Caenorhabditis elegans: one gene and its partners. The protein of the gene in region 3 interacts with the protein of the main gene of each other region in a biochemical or structural test. Each region holds a gene or a part of one and is shown on either strand. Other genes may lie near its edges. The genes, in order: frpr-16, dmsr-1, flp-3 and dmsr-7.

The links.
Region 1: the proteins of flp-3 (region 3) and frpr-16 interact in a test that uses a peptide from one of them, tested with the Caenorhabditis elegans proteins (one large-scale study listed by BioGRID).
Region 2: the proteins of flp-3 (region 3) and dmsr-1 interact in a test that uses a peptide from one of them, tested with the Caenorhabditis elegans proteins (one large-scale study listed by BioGRID).
Region 4: the proteins of flp-3 (region 3) and dmsr-7 interact in a test that uses a peptide from one of them, tested with the Caenorhabditis elegans proteins (one large-scale study listed by BioGRID).

What each region holds. Positions count from the first base shown.
Region 1 is NC_003280.10:6,028,637-6,032,995, forward strand, and holds frpr-16 (G-protein coupled receptors family 1 profile domain-containing protein), read right to left. Parts: upstream 2,571-4,359; 5' UTR 2,547-2,570; coding exon 2,424-2,546; intron 2,377-2,423; coding exon 2,285-2,376; intron 2,229-2,284; coding exon 2,072-2,228; intron 2,025-2,071; coding exon 1,921-2,024; intron 1,714-1,920; coding exon 1,398-1,713; intron 1,349-1,397; coding exon 1,224-1,348; intron 1,080-1,223; coding exon 974-1,079; 3' UTR 855-973; downstream 1-854.
Region 2 is NC_003283.11:11,436,555-11,442,285, reverse strand, and holds dmsr-1 (G-protein coupled receptor dmsr-1), read right to left. Parts: upstream 3,517-5,731; 5' UTR 3,469-3,516; coding exon 3,398-3,468; intron 3,119-3,397; coding exon 2,802-3,118; intron 2,751-2,801; coding exon 2,491-2,750; intron 2,196-2,490; coding exon 1,728-2,195; intron 1,347-1,727; coding exon 1,161-1,346; intron 1,100-1,160; coding exon 869-1,099; 3' UTR 722-868; downstream 1-721. Other genes in the region: F57B7.2 (SCP domain-containing protein), read left to right, coding at 1-150. UniProt on the Caenorhabditis elegans protein: G-protein coupled receptor.
Region 3 is NC_003284.9:10,091,446-10,094,808, forward strand, and holds flp-3 (TPLGTMRF-amide), read right to left. Parts: upstream 1,520-3,363; 5' UTR 1,474-1,519; coding exon 1,410-1,473; intron 1,362-1,409; coding exon 1,164-1,361; intron 1,115-1,163; coding exon 938-1,114; intron 890-937; coding exon 774-889; 3' UTR 501-773; downstream 1-500. Other genes in the region: flp-2 (SPREPIRF-amide), read right to left, coding at 3,184-3,229. UniProt on the Caenorhabditis elegans protein: FMRFamides and FMRFamide-like peptides are neuropeptides. SAEPFGTMRF-amide inhibits the activity of dissected pharyngeal myogenic muscle system.
Region 4 is NC_003283.11:5,403,477-5,409,173, reverse strand, and holds dmsr-7 (G-protein coupled receptors family 1 profile domain-containing protein), read right to left. Parts: upstream 3,822-5,697; 5' UTR 3,805-3,821; coding exon 3,719-3,804; intron 3,652-3,718; coding exon 3,439-3,651; intron 2,584-3,438; coding exon 2,440-2,583; intron 2,244-2,439; coding exon 1,985-2,243; intron 1,937-1,984; coding exon 1,806-1,936; intron 1,758-1,805; coding exon 1,632-1,757; intron 1,421-1,631; coding exon 1,280-1,420; intron 1,216-1,279; coding exon 1,141-1,215; intron 1,091-1,140; coding exon 976-1,090; 3' UTR 788-975; downstream 1-787. Other genes in the region: C25A6.1 (Serine/threonine-protein phosphatase), read right to left, coding at 323-646.

The DNA of each region.
Region 1 (4,359 bases), on a different chromosome or scaffold from region 3:
GCAGAGCCATGAAACTGATTCTTCCGATGGATAGTGGGGATGGATCATGAGATTTTTGGGATTTACAACTCAGGGCTGTCTGTGTCTCTAAAGATTGGTGGGTACTATCATTCAATTCACAATGATAAGTGCTCACGGACGGAAGCAGGTGGTGAATGATGAGATGTGTGTGTGTGCTCTCCGAAGAAACAATAAGATGATTTGAAGATGAATTGATACCTTCTTCCGTCCAATTCATTGGGGGCGGCTCCATGACCACGTGTGAGTGCAGAAACGAACAAGCTAGGCAGAAGATTATGAGCAAGAATTGAGGAAAAAAGGATGAAGCACCTTTGAAGAGTGACGTCTTTTGTCGTTGTACTCTTCTTCCAATTGTGACAAATTGGCAATATTTGGAAAATGGCATTTCGTGGAATTTAGAATGAATTTTTTGTAAAAACGATGGTAATAGGGGGGCCTCATATATTCACAGTGGGTCTTCAAATTCTGACATTTGATAGGGTCTCAAAGAATTTTTTGTGTGGTTTTTTCTCAAAGAGGAGTAGGACGCAGAAAAGAAACAATAAAAATTTGGTTTTCGAAAAGAAAAACAGAACTACAGAAAAATTTTTAAAAATCATATTTCGAGAGTTCCCATAATTTGGAATCTGTTTAAATTACTTTCAGATCCTGCAAAATTTTTCAAATGCCTGGAGAGGTGCTTGCTGTTCACAAAATATCTTTTTCTGGTTTCTTGTAAATTCGGCCAAATTTTTTTCTATTTTTTTAATATTTCAGGCTGAGAATGTGAATTATTAGTTCTCAAAACTCTATTTTCATTTTCATTGGTATTATTTCAAGTTCATAATACAAACTGGAAATATGACAGATTCATTCACCCGTTTCATAATTGTTTGTTTGACAAAAACCGGGACCAGATATCTAAAACATAAAAAGAAAACAAGTATTCAAACAAATAAGAGTCTATTTCTAATTAAACAATTGCCGGAGCTTTTCTTGTTTTTGATTCAGAAACAGCTCCAGATGAGTTAACTGGCAAGTAGGTCGAGCATTTTACATCATCCAGCCTTTGGCGACATCTGAAAATAGTTGATAAATTGAATGAAATTCGAATTCTAAGATATTTGTCGAAATCCTCACTTCTTTTAATCCTCTTTTTTATAATTCACATTGCGAACGTGCAACTTTGAAGAAGTGAGGGTGAAGTTTATTTATTTAGTTACCTGATGATGTCATGGAATATTGTTCGAAATTTCTCCGAAAATCCGTAGTATATGAAGAAAGTGCTTGACGTATGGAAGATTATCAAAAAGATTGTGAACTCGGCGAACACTTCCCAGTAGAAACTCTGAAATTTATAAATTATTTATTCAATAGTTCAGGAGTTTACAACTTACGGTTTGTGTAAGGAATCCTCCAAAAATACTTTCAGCAACTTTGAGAAACATTGAGAATAGATGGCAGAACGCGAAGAAAATGGTTACCACTAGCAGCATTACAGTTGTTTTCTGATCTTTTCGCTTCTGAACGGCCAAGCCTGTGATAACCTCGTCGCTTTCTTGAAGTGCTCTGATGACATGATAATTGGCGATAGTCATGATAAGGAACGGAAGGAAGTAATCGAAGATTACTGATAATATGATGAAGTAGAACATGAAGTACCACCAGTGTTTCTCTGTATCCAACATCCACATTTCAGATAGATACCCGTCTCTGCAAATCAAATTTGAGATTAATAATCGAGCGTCGTAATAAATTTTCTCCTTAATTGTCCAAAAAACGTATCAGGTTAACAATTGTAATGAAAATTTTGTAAAACTACCCTGTGCGATTAGGTAGCACAGAGTTTAGCAACACAGAAATTAGGTGATAGACAGGCAGGTATGTTTTATGAAAAACTTTAAAATATTTAAAACTTACCCAATTTTATAATCGAAAAATCTTGGAAAATTAAACACTATGGAAAATATGATAATGAAAATTCCAGCTTTCATTGTATTCCTGTTTGTGCATAATACTTTTGCCTGAAAATATACAAATTTAAATTCAAGACTTAAAATTTAGAATTTACCTGAAGTGGTCTACATACAGCAATCCATCGTTCAATGGTTATAAGTACCATTAGATATAAACTACATGATTTTGTCATCATACATAATGGATAAACATATCGTGTACTGTAAGCAAAGAAGCTCATATGAAACGAATATTTTTGCCATTGGTCCTGCCTGAAATCTGATGTTTGATGTGAAAAACATTCCCGAGAGACTTTCAATAAACTCACCAGAGTGGCAGAAAAACAAGAACAAAAATGGGAGTTATCAGGATGAGCAGCAGAATGTCAATGAGTGAGAGAATAAGAAGAAGAGTGCCAACCTGAAAGAATTTTTTGAATTTTCTGTAAAACTTTGAAATTAGATTACTGTAGATTTTCTCATCGGCGCTGTTCGATAAACTAAAAATGATGCAAAGTTTCCAAGAAGTCCAATGAAAATTACAGGTAAATACATCCATGATTTTAGCTCGTAGAACTCGTACCGATTCATAATGTGTTCAAAAGTGTGAAGATTCTGTAAGAAAAGGAAGAAAGTTTGGGTGGGTGGAAACGGAAATGAAAGAAAAAACCGAAGAAAAAACGGATAGCGCTTTAGAAAATGGGCAGCTGAGGGAGGGGATAATTTATTTTATTCATGGATCCACAAGAGGTGTGAGTTGTGGAAAAAGGAGAAGAAGAAGGTGAAACTTTTTGTACTTAGAAGACGACCAGGAGACCAATAGAAAATTGAGCAGAATAAGGATTCAATTTGGAACAAAAAATGACGATGCATTGAATATTCAAACGACTGCACAAAAGTTCAGAATATTTTAGAAATTTGAAATACGGTATTTCAATAAAATAATGTTTTGAAATTATAATTTCAATTTTCTTTATGGAATATGTACGGGGGTGACTTTTATAAGGAAATTGGGAATGGAGAATTGATTTTAATAATCTAATAATTTGAAACTACGATAATTTGTTTATTCAATTCAATCATGACTCAGGTGGAAGTTTCGAATGATTTCACCATTGAAACTTTATTGAACTTTAGGGTTTTATATATACTTTACTCACATTCACTCTACATAATTTAGTACCAACTGAGCACAATGCAAACTTCCATTCGAAAACGTTTATCAAGAAACGGCATTTGTTAAGATTCATCGTTAATTTATTTACAGGCAGTCCAGTGAAATAACCTTTCATAATAGTTCTAGCCATAATTTTTTCAATGTGGTCTTAAAGTAACTATGTTATGCTTTTGTTCTACTCGAGTACCACTTAAGTGATGGGAGCTTAACACAGTTGCAAAAATTGTGAGAAATACAGAAAAGAGTTCCCGGAAGGAGAATTTATTTAGGTTTTTTCCGAAAAAATTGTATTTTATTGAAGCTTAACCTAACTCTTGAAATTGGTACAATAAGTCGTGTAAAACTAGCTCGTGTTGGGATCAAGAATCGTGTCAAAGAATCACTTCAAAAACACTGAAAATTTATTCGAAGAAAAAACATCGTAGAGTTTAATAGTTATATAGAAAATGCTTCTGGACAGCGGAATGTGTATTGAAAAAAGAGAAATAATGAGATCATAATTTGATTGAAAAGATTTATATATCCTGAACGTATGCCGTTCAGGGCTTATACAAATCTGTTGACATCAAACTATTGAATAGAATCAGGCGTGGAAAATGTTGATTCTCATAGAACTCAATGAGATAATTTGAACTTTTGAGCTCTCCACTAAAAGACGCATTGTTTTTTCTCTCACGGATCTTAGTGTTAGTTTTGACAGTTGAAATGTTTGAAAAAAGAGAGAAAAAAGACATGGAGGTTTCTGCTAAATACTTATTTTTCTTTTTTTGTGTCGTTTTCATTTTCAGCTCGTAAAAAGATAACACATGTGGCAACGAGGAAGAAAATTGATGAAGAAGAAGGGGAATGCAGTACATGAATCTTTCAAAAAGAAAAATTTGAACATTGACGTGTTTCCTGAAGTGAATGCGTTGGGGGAATTGTAGACGAGAAGAGCTGTCACATAAGGAAATATTGAGCAGGATTCCGAAAAGAGTTATCGGAAAAATGGGAAGGGTGGATTTAAAAATTGGTACGAAGTTTCTTGGAAATGGAGCAAAAAAGAAAATGCTTCAAAATACGAGGATTCTAGAAGGAAGGAAGATATAGTTGCACTTCAGAAAAAAAAAGTACAGGTGGAATTCAGATTACCGGAATCCTAACAATTTGATGAAAACGGATTAAATAAGAAACGTGAATGTTCTTCTGGTCCCGCTCATCCATCACCATATTGTTATTTGTTTATGT
Region 2 (5,731 bases), on a different chromosome or scaffold from region 3:
CGTCCAGCGGGAAATTCAAATGCACCCGGAGAATTTGCTTCAAATGTTCCATCCAGAGATTGTTCAATGTCACCAATTCGAAACTTGGGAACTCAACTAAAACGCCACGTCACGATCTCAACACCAGAAAGAGCTGTTGTTTCCAAGTAGCTACTAGTTTATTTTTTTCAATTTGTGTAGCCAGAAACCGAAAAAGAACATTCCGAAACGGGTTGTGCGTTTTCTTCTACTTTTCTCCCCCACTTGATGCTTTCATTATAGTCAGCTTTTCTGTTTTTTTCTCTTTCATTTCGGCACCCGGTAACTTTGTCGGTTAATTGATCTCTAGCTATTACTTTCCATTGACAAATAAAAGATTGCTATGCCGAAACATTTTTACAAGTTGGAAGATTATCCTTTTTAAGTAAGTGTTTTAATTACACGGTGACATACGACTGTCATGTTTGCCATCAATATTTTTGTGATGGCATGATAAAAAATTCATTTAAACCAGAAAAATGCTTATGAAAATCAATCTATGTCTACCTACTATGGGAGCTAGTTTGAAGTTCTCCGAGGATACAATATTCCCAATTCTGCAATTTTCATTCATAAAAGGTTGTCATATACATAAATCAATAACCTCAATATGCAAATTGAAAGAATTTTAATTTCTGAACAATTACTTTATTTTTTTTTTCAATTCTGAAAAGTTTAAAGATTTAAAAAAAAAGTATGTTACTAATAAAAAACAAGATTCATTAATAGGACACGCTTAAGAAGAAATCAACGTAATCAGAAAATTGAAATAGAAACCCGTGAATATGGTAAATACTAATGGTTTTGTTCTGACACGTGTTGCAATTTGTGTGTTTAAAAAATTCTGATATCAAATGTTTTGAAAGTGTCCACGAATTCCATCAGCACTGGCTGTTGAGTTGGGTCCTGAGCTGTTAAGTAGATGTGATGTCTCATCAGTGGATTCATCTTCTCCACTTCGAATCGGTGGAAGTGGGGATGATGGAAATGATGTTGGCATTGGAGAACATGGAGTAATTGAATCACATCCAGTCATTCTCGTTATTTCCGTACTGTTTCTTCGTACCTGGATTCCGACCATCTGAAAATTAACATGGCTTATTCAAAAGTTTTGTAGAAAAAACATGTGTTGATATTCTTACTTTAACACTTGCTGACCTTGTATCTTCCGAATAAGTGCCATTTCCATTCATTCCATTTCCGTTTTTCTCGTTTGGTTTTAGAAAAGTCATTTTTGTGGTACTGTAGGCGTCGGATGGACGACGAATCGACGGCGATGACATTCGGAGACATCTCACCTTTGCAGGTACAAAGACACGGTGGAATTCCTAAAAATTTTATGATTTTTCTATATTGAAAATGAACCAATTTTTATTTATAGAAATCAAATGAAAATGCTTGTTCCCTGTGTTAAAATGAACTAAACACACATTCATAAAATGAGCAAAGTATGTACTTCCATGATTTTTCTTGTAAAAACAACTCCGCAATTGTCGGAAAATGTAGAGATCTTAAGCGCATTTTAAGACGCTGCCGAACATCATGTTAGTAAGAAAACAAAGAAAAAAAAGACAAATTCGCTTGGAAAGTTCCACCGAATGTTGAGAAAGTTTGTAGTATTTTCTAACAGCATACAACACATTTTTCATTGAGGTATTTTGAAAAGATGTCGCTCATTGAAATTTTTTTCAAGTAATATCAAAACTTACATTTCTGAACTGTCCACTCATTGAGCAGTAAATGATGAATGAACAACATGAACCGCAAAGTGAGAACAAATCGAGAATGTCTCCCAGATTGTTATAAATGTAAATTCGGAATTCTTCAGAACACATTCCAGACAAGACAGCCATAATTCCTTGAGGTAATTCAGTCACTAGCATAACTGCTACAATTGCCAATAACATATGAGTTGTCCGATCGACACGTTCTCCTCTCCCCCGTAAGCTTCCATTTCTGCCTAATTTCTCGTTGCCTGCAACTGAAATGCTCAGTCTTTGTCCGTTTCGAGTAGTCGTTTGATTCGGTGGTCGATGTTGCGAGTTCTTGAGAAGACGTTGACGATTCTCACGCACTTCACGAAGAATTCGTAAAAGGAGCCAAACAAACAACGATAGAAGCGCACATGGTAATACTTTGAATACCATACCGGATATCCAATAAGATAACCGGAAGACCTGCAGGAAATTAGGAAATTGGTTTTTGCTAGGGTGACGATCACGATGATAAATATTATTTTGTATAATTTTCATGATATCATATGTACATATGATCGATCAATTATTTCCAAAAAGGTTTATATAAATCCAAAGCTTCAAAGTTATATTATGATGATCTTGCCAAAATTTTTAGTTTATAAATCTAAGTTCCAATAAAAAAGTTTTTCGAGAAATTTTGTTTGTATACAATTTGTCAAACATTATTTTTTAACAAAAATCTTGTTTTTTTTTTACTGAAATTCAAAAATCTTACCAGACAGCTGTTTGCTTTTGCAATGTCTGCAATTCCAGGAAGATACGCGGGCGAATTCCAGAACATTGGATCCAAATCGGTACACGTTTCATTCAATGGCTGTTCATTGATTTTGTAATTCAGAAAATTCGGTGCATTAAGCACTGCTACAAGGGATACAGTAACAGCAACGGCATAATAAGAATGCCTTAACGTCACTTGCATACCACCCATATTTCCCCTACTTCGAAGTGTTACATATCGAACAAGTGCAAGCATAACTGCAATAAAATCGAAGAGTTGGACAGTTGTCTTCAGAATGAAAAGCTTACCTGACAACCAAACACTTGAAGAATGTGCAACTAATGAAAGATGAGCATGAGCAATTAAAAATAACGCCCAAGAGTAGGACCAATGTTTCGGATGACAAAACTTGAAAGCGACAAATGAGTAATGTGTTGTGTATATTAAATTTGAAAATAACACAACTGTATCACAAGATGCCATTGCTGTCAAAATCATATTAACTGGCGTTCGCATTGTTCGTCTCGTTAGTACGACGATGTTACAGAAATTAGCGATTGTACCCAACACGCATAGAAATATTGATAAGTAGGCATGTATAGGATGGTAGAAATTATATACACTTCTGAAAAAAAAACGTTTAATTTCACTTTTTTCCACTTTTGCTCTTGAAATATTTATTAATGGCTCTCTTTTTTATGGTCATCACTTTTGAGGACACAATAATTTAAGATAAGATAACCTTCTTCAATAACTTGGTTTTATTCGCTATTTTTAGGGATGATTTCTACAAATAATAGGATAACTTTTAATGATGATAAACTGTACTTTTTGAAAATACGTCAAATACAACAGTACTGGGCAATTATTTGAAAGATTTTTGAGACACAAAAGTAAAACTTACACAAAAACATCGTATAAAAAACTTTTATCGGGCAGATGAATAAATGTAGTTTTGCATTCGGTAAACTCCATTTTGTTTGCTGTTCCTCTGTTCTATTGTTTCTGATTCTATTTGAACATCTGAAAAAAAACAACAATTTATTAATATTGAAACGTTGAAAATGAGGAAAACAAGCGTTCAAATGAAAAACGGCTCCGATTCGGAAAACCGGAAAACGTCATTAGAAATGAGAGATGACTATGAAAAAAATGACAAAAGGGACAAAGATTTGGCAACACATTGCTCATTCACTTTTTAAAACAAAAACACTCAAATAATAGGGTGAGTGTGTTTTTTTGGAACAAAAAAACTAACAAAAATATACTGCAAGCTTTTGCTCAAAAATCTAAGATAAACACCAATTATTGCCAATTAGGGAGATCTTGCAGATAAAACTTCCTTAAAGAAATCATTATTCAGAAATTGAAGGAGTTGCAAAATCAGAAAATATAAAAATAAAAATAGCACAGGAAGTTTAATGATTTTTTTACTGGGAAAATTAAGAGTACAATTGAAAAAAGAGAGCCAAAAAGTTTTGAATGAACTTCAGAAGGAATAATTTGCATAAACTGAACAAGATTAATACATTCAAAAGTACACAAATTTTCGGAAAAATTGATATGCACTATACCAAATTCATATTCACATTCGTTTTTTGATTAATTTTTTTGCCGCTACACAATTTCGGCAATTGAGCATGTATTCGATTACAAAGAAAATGTCACAAATTCCAGGCACTTGGAAAAATAAATTGATAATTATTTCTTTTTCTATCACTTGGAAGAAGAGTTGTTTTTAAATGCCCGCTATTTCAGAGAGACATCACGTCATTAAAAACCATAAACGTTACGCATTTTGAAAAATAGAAAATTCAAAAACCTAAATGGATATCTCAACAGCTTTTTGTCACTATTTCACTGTCTCTTCACTTCAAAACACACACATATATATATATATATATATATATATATATATATATATATATGTGCAATATCCGTATCTACTTCCAACCGCTATTCGATCACTAAAAGAAACTCAAAACAAGCCTCGCTTCCTAGTCCTTCCGTTCGCCGCCATGATGGGCCCAGTATCTAAGCATGGGCGGAATTTGTTGCTTTTTTACTCAAAAAAAAGAACCTTTTTTATGTTGAGCACGGACAGATAAACGCAGAGCGGGGTGCAACGCATCTCTCCCCGACAAAAAATAACATCAGAATATAACCAAATTTCGGTCAGCGCTCGGAAGTGTGTGAGGCGGCCTAGCGCGCTCCAACTCTAATTACAGAGCGGATAAGGTTTGGATAGATATTTCCAAAGTTAGTCATGTGTTGATCCGTGACCACATGTCAGGTGAGCACCCATTTCCGGAGTCACTTCAGGAAAAAAACTCATTGAGCTGACTCTCGTGCCAGAGGAATTTTTCGCACTTATCATTAAAGAAAACGACAAAAGTTTATGCTGAAAATGAAAATATTTGCCGGAATTCGGTTTGAAGTTACGATAAAAAAGTAAAAGGTACAAGATCAAACTCCACTGGCAAACATATCCCAAGTATTGAAAATTTTAAGCATAATTACTTTTGAGTTAGGGGAAGGAAAATGATGGAAGTCCGGTTAGGTCGGATTTTCCTATATTGCTTGTTAAATCATTTTTGTGTATTAAATTGTATTGAAAAATAGCTGAAAAATAAGGATTATTATAACTTCTCTTATTTTACTTTTTAAAATTATTTTTTGTGACGTCGAACTTTAAAATGCAACGCCAAAAGTTTCCACAATGCAATCAAATCCTTTATACTTAAAACATCAAAATCCAACAACATGTAAACATATTTACAGAACAGAAAATTCTAAAAATATTACAAACTTGTAAACAAGTTGATAGTTGAGAAGACCTATCAAGAAGTATGATACGAGTGAGAGTACAAAAAGTACCCACAAGAAGTATCAAACTCGGAGAAAAAGATGGAAGGTACGGGGCCAAATAAAAAAACCGACGGATGTTGAGACCGAGAAAAATGCAAATTCTGAAGCTAACCGAATTTGTGACAGTGGATGGGCTCTTTGCCTAACTTAAACGAAACTTCATGTGACCTTACGAATGACGCAACTATTTCTGCACATAAAAAGGTGACAGAAGAAGAAGCCGTAGGATAAACTGACCAAACTTAGAGAGATGAGGACAATGAAATTCTTTTCTTTTTGCATTCCATATTTTCCCCGTCTTCTCATTTTCATATTTCTTTATAAATTCAGTCGCCCGTCCAATTGAATTCATTCAATTCGAGGAGGAGGA
Region 3 (3,363 bases):
CTGCATTTTATAACTCCATTTTTAATATACAAAAAATGAAGCAACAGATAACATTGTGAACTAGTAACGATGACTGTTCAGAATAAGAACAAAACGAATAAGCAGAAAAGGGAAAATATGCGTTTATTGTGAACATTCAGCGTTTTATTTTTAATTTGCAGTTCATCCATAATATTTTTTTCCTTGACTCTGTGCTTTAGTGATAGTTCTATTGTGAGTAGGCTGAGTAAACTTCTTTAAGAAGCCGGCAGTTTCCACGCATTCATTGGTTGGCACATGTTGGTCTTCTGTAAACATCTGAAATGTTCGAATTCATATTTGTTTTCAAGTGTCTAAAGGGGAAAACACCGGAAGTTTTGGCCAATCGGATGATGAAAGCGGACGAGCGAACCATGAAATTGTGTTCGAGAATTTCTCCATCAAAAGCAAAGACTAAATTTGAGAATCTTACAGTTTGCTAGCTAACTATTTTGGTCAAGCGTGAACAACTAACAACAAAATTTAACAAAGTGAATAATAACATTAATTTATTCTCCAATCTATGCAAACCACTTGATGAGAAGAACAGAGAAGGGGGTATTATGGAATAGTCGTTTTTCCTTAGTTTTTTGCAAAAGCCCAAGAATTATGCAATCGTTTCGGTATATTTTGGTATGAATTAGAAGCCAGAATGATAAATAATGTTAAAAGAGAGTGCCACTGCTGCGGGGGTGTTGAACATGAAAACTTAGTTGAAGCGAGAATAATATAAACGTGAAAAGTGAAAATAGAAATTATTTTCCAAAGCGCATGGTTCCAAGAGGGTTTCTTTTGCCAAAGCGCATTGTGCCAAATGGAGCACTGTCGTCAGCTGATCTTTTTCCAAAGCGCATAGTTCCAAGTGGCTCTTCTAAAAGCATAACATTGTGAAATCAAACTTTAGTACAGAACTGTATACCTGCTTCACGTTTCCCAAATTTCATTGTTCCAAATGGCGCATTACCGTCTTCTCTCTTTCCAAAACGCATGGTTCCAAACAGAGCATCCTCACTAGCACGCTTTCCAAATCTCATTGTTCCGAATGGTGTGTCGTTCTCAGGATTACGTTTTCCAAAACGCATAGTACCGAATGGCTCTGGAAACAGGTGGGTATAGTTTTTGAAAATTAATTATTTGTATAATACCTGCACTTCGTTTTCCAAAACGCATAGTTCCCAATGGAGTGCGCTGATCACGAATGACGGGCTCCGAAGAATCAACAGTAGACCGCTTCCACATTACATTTGACGGATAGTATCCATCCTCCTCAAATGTCATTTCATCAGCAATGGCTCGTTTGCCAAAGCGCATTGTTCCCAGTGGAGACCGTTTTGGTGTGGCATCTAAATACTTTTCATTCTATTTCAAAAACATAATTTCTATTCTCCTACCCGACGCTACCAAAAACGCGCAATTCACACAGAAGAGCAGGATGAGGTGATTGGGCGATATCATTGGTGGTTATGGTGGTGTTACGCGGGAGCTAACACACAAGGGGTACCTTAAAATATAACAATTAGTTACGGAAAATTTAGTCAAGAAGAAGTAGAAGTGAGGTTGTGAACCGCCGAGATATTTGCATGTTTTTATATGAGCTTAATTTCAACAATTTTAACGGTTCAGTTGTCATGCCGGAAGAGGTGTGTGGGGTTTTAGAAATTTGGTCAGGAATGCGTAAATACTGTGTGCAGTTAGAAAAATGTTCATGTGAAACGAGTAAAATTGAAATCCGGTGCTCAAAAATTATTGAAAATCTGAGCTTTGGCGAACAACTTTGTTTAATAAGTACTCGGTACATTCTATTGTCAGGTAAAAATTGGAGGCGTTGGCAATTTGGTTTAAAGGGGCGGGTTTCTAAAAAGTAAGTGGTCCCTTGATGTTGCAATGCACAGGTCAAACGATTACTATTGTGTCGAGAAAAGACTTCGAAAATGCACGATTTGACGTACGACGTCTACCGCCGCCCAACACTCCTTCAAACAAATTGCCAAGTAACAATGCTATTGCTCTTTTATTGCGGCCAGAGTTTCTATTAAAAAACGGTGGCACCTCAATTTATGCATCGTCATGTGACATTTTTGGAATACTCTAAGAAAAGAAATAAGATAATTGAGTCTAAAAAGACACTCGAAATTAGTAGAAGAAGCGTAGGTGGTAGTTTTCAAAGTTCAGGTTAATAATTTGAAACTGAAAGAATTGTGTTGAAACGGGGCGGCGGTTAACGGAAGAGGTGGGATCTCTCGAAAAACCTATAAATTTTGATGTTCAACATCATAATTCAAGCCTAGATGGATAACGAGAATGACGACTCGAACCCATTTTTTTGATGGGATACTGTAACTTTGTGACATCAACTCTCACACAGCCCACCGCCAATTATTAAATCTTTGCGTGCACAGCTAGTCAAATGTAAGTCTTGATTGATAATTGTCAGGTACGAAATTTAAACCGGGACTGGTGTTAGTTCAAAACGTAGATAGACATTTGTTCTCAAAAAAGAAAGAAATGACAGAATCCGATTGGTGCCTGTTGGTTGAGATGCCACCTTGTCGAATTTGTGAAGCGAAGCTGATTAATGAACTGAGCTTTAAGGAGGGGGGATTTTCTGTTTTTGAATAATTAAACATTATTTTTTGTCAAAAACGTCACTTGTCAGAACGCGAGAAATGATTAAGTAGGTTGAACTAATCTTGTTCTCAAGATTGAACAGTGTTTTGAAATTAAAACGAAAACTAATAAATCAAAGCTTCTTGGAAATTCTAGCACCTTCCAAAGTCACTCCACATGTTTAATTATGAGCACTCATTGACATTTCCGAAACAATTCTTTGAAGAACTAGCAAGACTGAATTTTAAAATTTTGATCTTGAAAATAGTGTGCCTCGTTTTCTGACCTAATCTGGCTAAAATCTGAAATTCAGTGCCAGTAGTCGTTTCCTTTGTTCGCGAAGAAAACGTAAGACTTGGTTAACAGATGGGCTATTATTCCATGCGGAACCCAACCACTTTATTCGAAGTTATAGGAAACATAGTTTAAAAAATGTTGTTGCATTGAAAGTACGGATCAAAATATAGGACGAGAATGGGAAGAAAATGTTGGAATATCTAATATGATGTTGGCTGAGTAGTGGGGTTCACCGTGCATTGAATCATTGATAGGATGGAGTTATTGGAAGTCGTAATCTGGCAGCGGATTGAATCGTTTTCCGAAACTGAAAATAATAAAATAAATTCTATCGATCTGCAAGTGTATTAAACATTTTTGTAAGAAGTGATTCTAGTAAGAATACATGACGTTTCCAAATATGTGTTTGGGTTTTAAGCTTGATTTATGTTGTTTTTCCAA
Region 4 (5,697 bases), on a different chromosome or scaffold from region 3:
GAGAGAGAAATAAACGTCCAAAAGATCCATCACTCCAGTTGACGTCATTTTTCAAATTTGACAGCTCATCGGAGCAGCATCAACTTTCTGTCACTTTGATACTTGAGAGATGCGCACTTTTTTGCAGAGCAATATGTGATGGACAATAAATATGTTTCTTTTTGAAAACACATTTATTTATCACATGTGTACGCTTATTTTGGAAAATCTAAGCGGTCTCTGCAAAAATCCCCTGTTTTGGCATTCTTTGTGTCAATGATTAATTCTGGCGCGTCACAATTTTTGATCCTAGCTTCTTTTTGCAAAACTTAAAGCAACAAACCTTATAAGCGAGAAGAAGAACAATGGTTTCAATGCTAAATCTTCCACGGTCCACATAGTCACCAAGGAATAAATAATTCGCAGTCGGCGGCCATCCACCACGATGGAAGAGACGAAGAAGATCCGGGAATTGTCCATGGATGTCACCGCACACCTTTATCGGAGCATTCATTTCAACCATTGATTTCTGTCTTTTAAATACATCCAGTGCCAAATCGAGAAGCTTTAGAACTCGTCCTTCCGTGATCACTTCGGAAAGTAGCTTTTCGTGAGTACTAGCGCTCAGGACATCAATTATTATGTTGTCAACGACGTCGTCTTTCATAATCTAAAACATCAAACCTTTTTAACTTTTGATTCCTGGAAGAGAAAAAGAGAACTCACCTTTCGGAAATCACTTTCAATTGAAAATAATTTTTTTTCCTAGTTTTACTCACATCTACGTGTCTTTTTGTAAACAATTTTTTTTTCACGGCGCCGTGAATAATTTAATAATTTTGTAAACCATATTGATTTATATAAAAACTGAATTAATAAAAAACAAAAAGTACCCGTAACAAGAATAGAATAGAAAATGCGAAAGCTATGAAAATGAGCAAGATATCACAAAAAATCTGCAAAGGGAATTTGTACCGAGATCGAAAAAATTGGAATTTAAAGTTGATGTTCTCTACTGCTGTTCTGATTGTCCGACACGGAAGCTTCATACCGCCAATACTCATTGCGTGCTGGTTCCGGTTCAGTTGCCAGTGGCGTATAGCTTTGTTTTCTGCAAATTAAAGATAATATTTTCCAGACTTCAAAAACAAATTAACTGACCTTCCTAGTCGTAAGCTGTTGTTCAACTGAAGCTGTGAAAGTTCCGTCGGAGAACCACGACGGGTCGTCCACAATCTGAGAGGAAAAATTTTATTTTAGACTACTGTAACAGGAACTGGTTCAATAAGAATGAACTTACCCACAAGCCCACGAAGGAATGATAACTTCCCAAAACGTCTGCCGGTATCTTGAAGACATCACACAATATAAAACAAAATTTACAGAGGAATTGACAAGCGATAGGAGATCAAGAACATCACCAATGTAGAAATAGAGGTATCTGAAATGGAAAATTTAATTTTTCGAAAACTTCTTTAGCGCCCAATTTTAGCTTTAATTGGGCCAACAAAAATTTAGCAACACTTTTGCAAGACTCAGCCTGCACCCAAATTTCCAAAAATTCAAATGACTCAAGAAAAATTGGGTCAAGCTTGGGGCAGTTCGATTTCAGTTTTTCCAGGCCAAATTTCTAGTTAAACATCAAATCTTACCTATGAACGTCTGTAGTAAAAATTGCGCAAAGAATCGAGATGATTCCTTGTGGAAACTCCGTTATTAAAAATACCAATAAAATAACAACAAGCATCAATGTGGTTCTATCTGATGTTCCATTCTTTCTGAAAATTTCCATTTTGTCATAAAAGTTCTTTGAGAGTTGACTATACTTTTTCAATGGTTTTGAATCTGTTGATGCATTTGACGGAACACTCGTTAGTTTCCTCCGATGCTTTTCTGCGTCTCTAATCTTTGATACAAGGCCGAAAGACAAGAAAATTAGCAGAATACATGGAATGATCTGAAAACTGGTAGGACGTTTAATTTGATAACTCGCGTACTCGCTAACCTTGAACAGAATTCCAATCATCCAAATATTCCATTTAAACAACCGGCAATTGTTGATAGTCGCCGCGTGGCTGACCATAAAAGTGTACACCGGTTCAGAGTAGTTCGATGCAAATTTTTGACACGTTTTGCCAGGTCGCCAGTCATTTCCTTCTACACGGGCGATTTCGTGGACCAGCATATTTGGAATACAAAGTACAAATACGACCATATAGATTCCCAGGCACAACTTCCATGCGAACTTTGGTCGTTGCCATTGACTGAAAATTTCCAGATTTTTTAAGGGGGCCAACGTTTCTGGGTATATTGCTTGCAATGTCTTTGTAAAATTTCAATTTTAAATATTTTTGGATACCTACCATTGTTTGAAAAAAATTTTGAAAACTTTCATTACAAAACTTGTTCATCTTAGTGTATAAAAAAATGTTAGTCCCTTAAACTTTGCTCCCAGCATACCTATTCAAAGCGGTAACCCTTAATGTCATCCTCCGAATGAACGCCATCGCCACAGCGAGCCATAAAGAAGTTGTGTGTAGTGTGATGCTCAAAACAACATGCCACAATAGGAATTGTAACCAAGAATGAGTGAACGTTGGAGTGCTGTAATAAAATCTAATAATAAAAATTATTGAGTTTCATTGCAAACGCTTGTTTTCGTGTTTTTCAGTATCATTTTACGAGCGACTTTTCATCTTGAATTCACTTTTGTTATTTATGAATACACGTAGTTTGTAGCTTTGTGACGATTTTCAAAATTTCCTATGATCAATAAAATATGCAGTTGTTTTCATGTTTTGATGCACATAAAACGGATAGGAGGAAATAAATAGTTCCAGGTTCAACTAAAATTCTATGCCTCTTCAATTAAGTGCAGCAAGTGACGAACATGGGCATTCAACTTTTGAAATTCCATTATTACTTTGAGGATGTTTTTTTGTGTGTGTGTGTTGATACTTGAGTGGAAAAATAGAAGAATATAAATATCCTTCAAAATTTTCAATAGAAAGAGCACACTTAGTTTGAATTCTTGTTATTAATGGTTTGAGGTAGAGTTTGGAAAATAAGGATTTTGTTTCAAAGTATTCGAAATATTCAAATATATGCTGCATAATCAAAAAAAAAGGAAACTTAAAAAATCGAGAAAGATTTAAAAATGTCCAATTTTTGAAATTGCGAATTTTCATATTTGAATTTTTCCAAAATGAGAAGCCATGACTATTTTTAAACCAATCAGCGCCTTCGAACTCTACATCCTTTTTATGAAGTGACCGACATTTTCCGGGTTTTGCAATTCACCATAAAATTGGAATAGGAAAAACCAGAAAATAAATATTTTAAAGCTTGTGTTATTTTTCCAAAAATTCCATATTTGTTGATGTTCCTACTCAAAAGCCGCCACGCCGCTCCATTTCCCAAAACAAAAACATTTCCACCCAATAAACACACAAGAATTACCAGGAATTATTTCGTCGTAAGACAAAATGTATAATATAAATGAGATAGGATGCCATTGTTCCGATATCACAGACAGCCACTGCTGTCAGTATGCAGTTGACGGCCGAATTGCGCATGTTGGGTCTCGATAAAACTGCCACATGCACAAAATTGGTGAAGATACCAAAAACGCAGATGAGCACACATACATATCCGTGAATTGGCTGGTACCATCTGACAATTAATCATTGGTTCATTTTTCTTTTTTTGAAAGAAGTGCACAAAAAATAGTTTAACAAACCTTTGAAAATGTGCAAGTTTCCGAAGAAATGCCTGCGTACTGTTACTGTTCGGATCAAACAACTGAGCATCGTGCGGACATTCCATATCTAGCACATCCTTCAAAATGTTGAAAATTTAAGGGGTTTTTAAAGACCATTGAAACAAAGAAACATAAGGAGAAAATCAGAAGAAGCCAAGAGCAACAGGGTGGAATGCGTTCTGTGTTTTTTGAACTTTTAGATGACAGTCGGTTGTTGTGGAAGAAGCTGATCGAGTTTTCGAACAAAATATATAATTTCGTTTTTCAAAAAATTTACAAAATTATAGGTCACTGGCCGGAAGTTATTTTTGTTCCGTGAGTTGTTATTTCTATAGCAGGAAAATACTTTGAAAAATTGTAAAAATCTTTGATTGAAGATTTTTATTTTTTAAAAACTATTTCCTAGAGTAAAAAAAACCAAAAAACCTATTTTTTTGCCGGCCAGGGCGGTAGATTTGTTTGTTTTCGAAAACAAAGTGAGCGAAAAATTGCAAAAAACGCGTAAATTCTTTTGTAAATTTTGCATGTTTAAAAAAAAATGACACTCGAAACCGTAAAAGAGAGCCATATTTATCAAAATATTTATTATTTGGGTTTAAAACATTTTAAAATAATTTTTTTCGATTTCAGCAGATCTTGAAAATGCACAAAATAATTGGTAGGCATGTAGGCATGCCTGCCAACTTATCTTGGCAAGACTAGTCTTTTAAAACATAGTAAGCATATTTTTCAGCAGTTTTATAATTGCGATGATTATAATTGTGAAGCACACTCGTTCGTGAATGTTTAATCTTTCGCTCAACTTTCTGTTTCTTGTGAACATGTAACCTAGATCTAGGGCTTCTAGGTAGGCGCCAAACGACTGCCTACCTGCCGGACTTCAAAGTTAGGTCCACCTGCTTTTCATCAAATTAATCGAAATTCAAATTTATTGCTTTCAAATTTTATGCGCCTGCCTACCATGTTAGTCCTACCTAGAACAGAAACTTATTAGTTAAGTATAAAAGTTTTAAACTTTGGTATTTCATGCCACCATAAAACATATAAAATCAGGGGGCCATCTTGTGAAAATGTTTGTTGTGTGGTGCTGCTTCACACACACCGAAACATTTGAAACAGAATGGATTTCGAGACAGAAATGTGGCATTCAAAGTTAATGAATTCATCTTCCAGAGAAGATGAATCGGAAAATCGAATATTCTCACGACTTATGAATAAGGAAAACGTGGAAAAAAAAAGTTTAGGGGCGCAGGCGCAGTCAAAAGGGGAAGAAAGAAAGCTCAAGTCCCTTGGGAATTGAAGTGATGTGCCTATTGACTATTGACCACTGAACATTTCATCTTTGTTTCAAGAAATCAAAAGAGTGACCTAGCTAATTCTCTAACACCTTAAAATGCAGAGAGCCTAATTGGGGGAGAAATGAGAAAAATGCAGGAAAAAAGCTGAAAAGGGGCAAAAACTGGAGGAAGGAGAGGCGCTACCAATGGTGGATTGCGCACGTAACGTGTTCATTGTCTTTTTTACTCGAAACAAAATGGCGAAGCTTCTCCTCAAATTCAATTTGCAGTTCAAGCAGCTTCTAGTGCTTGAAAAGCAGTGACGAGACTGCATTATTTTCAAAGTGACGAGCAAAAAGGAGGAAAAAAAAAGAAGGACTAGAAGGAGGGGTAGGAATAGTGAGAGGAGAGAATTGGGATGCACAAATCACAACAAAACTTTGGGCAATGAAGAGGAGCCTTTCTTGGTTCCTTCTGGCTCCTCCACAAGTTTCCTAATGCTCAATTCTAGACTAATCTTTCAGATGGCTGTGCAGACTCCCGGATAGAATGATTCAGGCGGCTGCTTGGAATGCCTCCGTTTTTTTTCAGTTTGAGCACATTATTTAGTTACAGTGGCTCTGACTTTTGCTATCATACAAAGATACAAACAGGCCTAGAACGAAACAAAAAACAATTGGG